2 linked regions of the Coturnix japonica genome follow. The main gene of each other region encodes a partner of the protein of the gene in region 2 in a complex. Links are inferred from orthologs where the notes say so. Each region holds a gene or a part of one and is shown on either strand. Other genes may lie near its edges.

What was found.
Region 1: the proteins of KL (region 2) and FGF23 are in contact, whole or in part, in a cryo-EM structure (PDB 7YSH), measured with the Homo sapiens proteins. The link is inferred for Coturnix japonica from reciprocal best matches to the Homo sapiens genes KL and FGF23. Residues at the interface, in NP_004786.2 of Homo sapiens: Phe377, Lys385, Leu389, Glu390, Pro392, Trp417, Phe418, Ser420, Lys429, Tyr432, Tyr433, Lys436, Phe437, Arg468, Ser471, Ile472, Arg556, Arg693, Asn694, Met695, Thr696, Tyr697, Ile735, Val752, Phe755, Asp756, Asn782, Asn783, Leu785, Ile812; in NP_065689.1 of Homo sapiens: Leu39, Met74, Ala80, Val88, Arg91, Leu166, Ile167, Phe169, Asn170, Ile173, Arg175, His177, Asp184, Ser185, Glu186, Arg187, Asp188, Pro189, Leu190, Asn191, Val192, Leu193, Lys194, Pro195, Arg196, Ala197, Arg198, Met199, Thr200, Pro201.

The regions. Positions count from the first base shown.
Region 1 is NC_029516.1:67,148,315-67,150,706, reverse strand, and holds the end of FGF23 (fibroblast growth factor 23), read right to left. Parts: intron 2,355-2,392; coding exon 2,251-2,354; intron 1,750-2,250; coding exon 1,312-1,749; 3' UTR 509-1,311; downstream 1-508. UniProt on the Homo sapiens protein: Regulator of phosphate homeostasis. Inhibits renal tubular phosphate transport by reducing SLC34A1 levels. Up-regulates EGR1 expression in the presence of KL. Acts directly on the parathyroid to decrease PTH secretion. Regulator of vitamin-D metabolism.
Region 2 is NC_029516.1:155,888,663-155,892,497, forward strand, and holds part of KL (klotho), read right to left. Parts: coding exon 2,773-3,835; intron 1-2,772. UniProt on the Homo sapiens protein: May have weak glycosidase activity towards glucuronylated steroids. However, it lacks essential active site Glu residues at positions 239 and 872, suggesting it may be inactive as a glycosidase in vivo.

The sequences.
Region 1 (2,392 bases), about 89 Mb from region 2:
TATTTTCAGAATCACACTTATTTAAAGTTCCCGGAATATATGACTACAAGCTGATGAAATAAAGGAGAAGTGCTAAATATGTATACAATATTCAGAATTCTCTAAGTAGCTCCAGTAAAATCGATGAAGCTATACTGAATTTAACCACTTTTCACCTAAATTACTATGAAAATCTCAACTCTGCAATTATCTTAGCTAAAGATCAGTAAGCTTCGAATGTATACATGGAGGCTACATTTTGGTAACTAACTTATGTTATGTTATAACATGACATATGTCAATCTAGATGTCTAGGTTTTGTCAACATTTAGAAATCTGATAACATTAAAGTCGTTTCACTCTTACAGACATAAAGCATCTGTCATCTGCTTAGAATTAAACAAAAGCTTTGATGTCAAACCTAGACGCTCCTTTTCTAAATAGATGCATAAATTTTTATGCGTTAGATGTGTCTGCATTAACCATTAATAATTTGCCCATGAGGCATAAATTTGGGGGGATTTTTTTTTCCTAGAGAATTCAGCACTGTGCAAAATAAACTAACATTTTGGCATACTACTGATCCTGGTACTTCTCTCTGGGAATTATATTTCCATATTGTGTTGCTATAATTAAGTGAATAGAGAGATATGACAGAGGACTTGAGAGAATGGTGAGACTCAACTTCTCTTTTTTTCCAAACCTCAGCTTGGGTTCAATAGGTGTCAGAAATGACTGTCGACACCATTTGGTCCCTGTCAGCTACTCCAGTTTACATTGTGCACTGGTTGTTTTTTTCATACCAGAGTTGTCATTTCTTGACTCCTATGGGCACAAAAAGATACTGAAGCTCCAATCTCAATGCCTAAAAATATATATAATAAGTTTTAAATGATGATATAACACACTGTTGGTAAGTTAGTCTTGCTGTGCTTGCACGTGAGCTAGTAAGAAGATTCTCTGCCCCTGCTGGCGTTTCAAATCCTCCAGGGCTCATGTCTTCCCCCAGATACATCAGTAACACAAAATTAGTTCATCATTACATTCAAGTGAATTCTGTTTTCCTTATGCATACTAAAGGTATTTCAGACTGTAAAATATTCTGTTTATATTATTCTTTTTGAAAATGGACCTTCTTTCCAGTAGAGCAGAGTGCAACACCCTTTTTCAGTAAACTGTCATGCATAAGGACAAAATTTGAAAGAAAATTGGTTTTTGTCAATGTTCTTCAGGTTTCTAGCAGCCACCTTGAGGGTTAGAAATCAGGTTGAGTGTTTTAGGCACTTCTGTCTATTATATTCATCTGCGTCATCAATTTGCAAGTGGTTGCCGTCATCTTGTAATGTAGAAGCGAGGACTAGCATACCTCCTGGCATCCATCATAGCGTGTGGGTCATCTGGGTTGACTACATCATTCTGATTGACTCTCACGGGTTCTCTGGGCACATGGGAAAAGTCCATTTGCAGCTGCAGCAGAGAATCTAATGCAGAGACCTTTCTCTGTGGGATCAGGATCTGGTGAGGATCCATTGGATCGACATCTGCACTTCTAGTGTTTCTGTGGGGTTCAGGTGTGTTGAATCGAAACAAAGGGATTTCATTTCTCCTGGACAAAAACTGGGAGTACGGTGGTGGATTCATACCAGGGAAGAAAACTTGCTTAGTTCTGCCCAAGCTAACCAGAAAATTGTGTTTGGGAGATTGGTACACATCATATCCATTTTCCAGTGTCCTTTGGTTGAACACACAGTCCTCTTGGCTGAAATAATGCTTAGGGAAGGGAAAGAAAATAAAAAAAAAGACAAACGTCAACAAAGGGATTTGGTGGAGTACAAGCACCTGTTAAAGACAAAAAGACAGATGAGACATTGCAGAAGGTGTTTTCTGATCTTCCAGGTCTGCAACTCAGACAACTCATGTTAATCCAGTACGAATGTCTGAATTTTCAACAGGAGTGTTATTGAGCCAACACTAGTTTCAGCAGAGGGCTGCATTGCTTGAACTACTGTGAATGTATACTGTAGCAAGTCTGCAAGATCTCACTGGATCTCTTTCTGCTTTCATATATTCCAGCAGGAACTCAGATGAACTCTTTATCAGGTCTACAATTCAGTGCAATCAAAGAGGAGAAAAAGTTTAACCTAAGCAGCAGGTTATCAGCTTGCCAAAATCTGCATCCTACTGCTGTACTTATACAGATTTGCTCTATGTGAGGAAATGGATCATATATAGCAGACTGTGCCTGTCTTTTACCTGTTAAAGGTAACTTACCGATCCAAAAATGTCTCCTTTCATGTCCATGCATAGGTAGCGTCCACTCTTCACACCTGTGATTATCACAGAGCCAGCACCCTCAGACTTGATCATTAAGGCACCTTTTTGAGAAAGCAAAGATGTCAAATCCAGAATCCCA
Region 2 (3,835 bases):
ATATTTACCTACCCTTTAAGAGAGCTGCTATGCAGGATAATTAGTTTGTGTTTGTAAAATTACATGTGGATTTAATGCTGTCACATAAATGGTTATTGCTGTTCTTTATTTTTAGTTGGCAAAGATGAACATAAACACACACAAAAAAAAATGCAGCCTCAGCCCAAACAGTTCTGTACTGTACCCTGGAAGTGTTTAATCTGCATAAACCTATTGGCTCCTCTGGAATGATGCAGGAGAGCAATGTGCCAGCGCTGCCATACGCAGCCCCAGAGACCAGCTGGAAGAAGGCAGAACAGGAAACTCAGGGTGATACTAGCATGACCCCAATGCAAGGACAAAAGACTTTTCCTTTCAGTGAGTGCTGATTGTCTTGCAGAAAAAAAAGTAAGTCCTGGAGAAACATTGAGTCAGTCAGAGGGACAAGGTTAAAAGCTTGTTATGTGTGTAAGGAGAAGATGGACAAAAGCACAGTGACAGTATAGGGGAAGAACAGAGAGTGAAAAAGCTCTTTGGAAGACAGAGCTCTGGGGAAGTATTGTGACTGGTTAGCAGGGATATATTCATCTGTGACAAAGAAGGCAGAAAGCTTGGAAAATATGGTTTGCACACAAGGATTATGTTATTAGTGGGAAAATACAGTAGCTATTTCCAGAATGTTTGGAAGAGATGGGGAGTAATTGAGTGATGCTGTATGAATGACAAAGTTCTGTGAACAATGGGATAATGTGCAGACTAATGGGAACTGAGAGAAAGGCCCATATTCACACACTTAGAGACGTCTCAAGAACTGGTACAGCCTACAGTATTAGGAAGGAGACAAAGCAAACAAACCAAACAGATTGAAACCACAAGCCTAAATACAACTAAGATATGTTTTTAACTACAGATGCAGAAAACATGCAGCCAGTACTTCATAATGTTGCCAAAGGAACTCTGGGGCACTTAGTATGGATGCTGACTAATTCCTAAAGTAGGTGGAAATTATGGACAGGGAAATCAAAGCCAACACTTAATGCAGTGGACACGATGATGGAACTGCCAGCCATCCTTCACTACCTACTAAAATAATGGGATAGATTATACAAAGCTTGATAAATAAGAATTACAGGAGATACATATGATTAATGCCAATCAGCTTAGCTCTATGAAAAATAACTCTTGTCAAACTAATTTGACATCTTAACTTGACATCATTTTTATGAGATCAGTAGATCAATACAAGTAATGTTTGATGCGATATACTTACAACTTCATAAGGCAACTGACTTGGTATTATATGGCATTTGGATCAAGAAAATAAAATGTTATGAGGTCAAGGTGGGCCCATAAAATAGAGCAGGTAAGTCTATATATATAATTACAGAGAGTTAATTGTCCCAGTAGGTGGTCATGGAAAAATAGCTTTTACAACTAAGATATTTTATATCTTTTAGTGGTATTTCTCACAAAATTTGCAAAGAACACAAAGATTGGGGACGTCGCTAGTGTAGCTAGTTTTTCACAAGTAGGTTAGAGGTACTTGAACACGAATAAATACAAGGATGGCATAGAGGAACACCACAATTCAGTACAGTTCCAACCTGAGGGGAGGGAACCTTTAACGACTAGATAACAGCAGTTAGCAACAGACTGCATGTGACCAACCTGCTGCTAAAAGGGCTAATTGGCTTCTGGGATTTACAAAAGAGGAGTAAAATTGTAAAAGGTAACATTATACACACTTAATCTACAGGTGTGGCTGTGGTAGGAACAGTATGTCCAGACCTGGAATTTACACATCTCATGAAGAATGCTGGCATGCAGGAAAATGTTTAATAATTGAAAGATTCTAAATCATGTTTTATCTAAGGGACACAAAGAGCTTTGTTGGAAGTATTTGCCAGAGAGTTAAATAAAAGGTGGCTTATAGAACCATAGAATCGTTTGAGTTGGAAAGGACCTTTAAGGGTCATCTAGTCCAACTCCCTGCAATGAACAGAGACACCTACAGCTTGATGAGGCTTATTTTCTTCTTGTGATAGCCAATACATGGAAATGCATTGCAAAATTGCCGAAAGCTGAAGGCAAAGAAATTAACACTAGAAATAAGTTTTTAATAGTTATATATGTGAAAAAGGCGAGTAACTTGACACTGAAACAGCTTATATTGAAGTGTAGAAAATTCTCCATTAAAAATTAACTTGTCCAGGTCTTGAGTTTTTCTAAATAATATCTTCATTGTGTGACAGGATGACTCAAAATACCTCCATTTTACCTTATAACTTATGAACCTCTCAGACAGAGAGAACAACTGGATTGAATTCTGAATAGCAGGAAACAGTCCAGGAAGCAGCATATGAGGTAGAGAGCTGAAATGTTATGAAGAGCCAAGATAACTGCTGGATTAGATACAGAGACAGCTGAGGAACAGAACTCACATCCAGCTCTGAATTACACCAGTGACAAGAGAAGCAACAAAGAAACAGAACAGTTGAATTGCAACAGGAAGAAAATAAGACTACACACACATAACATCATCTAGTTAAAGCTCTTGCACCCACCAAAAAGTTCTGCAGGGTTATGTAGAATACAAGCAAGGCCAGTCGTCCTTATGCTTAGTAACAACAATCAGTTGTAAATAAGAGGAAAAACTAAGGTGTAATAATTTATGGAGTATTCTAAGCAAAGCTTCATTATTATTATTATTTTTTTAATTAAAACATCATCTTTCACAAAGTATAAACACTGAAAGTGGTATTTGTGGCATATAAGCTGCCTATGATAGCTTACCTTTTAAGGCTTCATTGATGTAATTCTGTATGTAATATACTCTGAGCTTATCGTGCACAATATTCTGGTCATCATCAATTCCATTAGCCATAACATAAACTGGGACATCACCATACTTTGATTTAACCCATCTGAGAATTCTACGCAGTCCCCAGGGCACTACTGCAGCTCTGCTGGGGGAGTGCAGCCATGTGATGTCGTTGATCATCTGAACTTCAAGATAGTGGTCATATTTCAGTGCATCTTCTCTCTCCCAGCCCACAAGGGTAGTCGTGTAGTGACTTAAGGCAAAGAAATCAAATGAGCCCTGGATTAATTTCTTTTCATCTTCTGAGAAAGAAGGCAAGTGGAAATTATACAGGTCAATGCTGTTTCTCCGGTGAAGCCATGCCCTCATCACATGTGGGTAGTCACCGTTGCCAAAGATGGGCTCTGCAAGCCAGCCAATGTCAAACTCTAAAATTCTGTCAGCAACTTCTTGGTCATTCCTGGAAAAGGGACAAGCTGGTTCTACCCAGTCAGCTTGCAGAGCTATAGATATTTTACCCTTCTGAGATCTCCTGAATTCTTTGTCATAAAGATGCCATGCTTTTGCGTGGGCTTTCAACAGATTGTGTCCTGCAGTGTATGTCAAGTTTTTCACAGACGGTTCATTCATTGTGATCCAAAATTTCACATGGTCCCCAAGACTTGCAAAGCTGAATTTTGCATACTCAACAAAAGCCTGAACAGTTTCTGAGTTTTCCCAAGCTCCATATTTGGCAAGAGATGTTGGAAGCTCTTGATTCTCAGCCATAGGTTGCCAGAGAGCAACAACAGGAGTTATATTAACTCTGAGAAGTTCACTACAAAAACACTGATAATAATGGACAAGTGTGTGGTTGATTAGAGAGAGATTGCCTAAAGGAAGGACTGAAGACCATTTCAGTGAAAAATGGAAGTGAGTGACGTGCATTTCCTGCAGGAGAGAGATCTGAAGTCTGATGGCAGCGAAGTCAACACAGTGATGCTTGCGTTTGGAGGCGAAAACTCCATCCACTTTAATTAACTTCTTTGTCTGGTG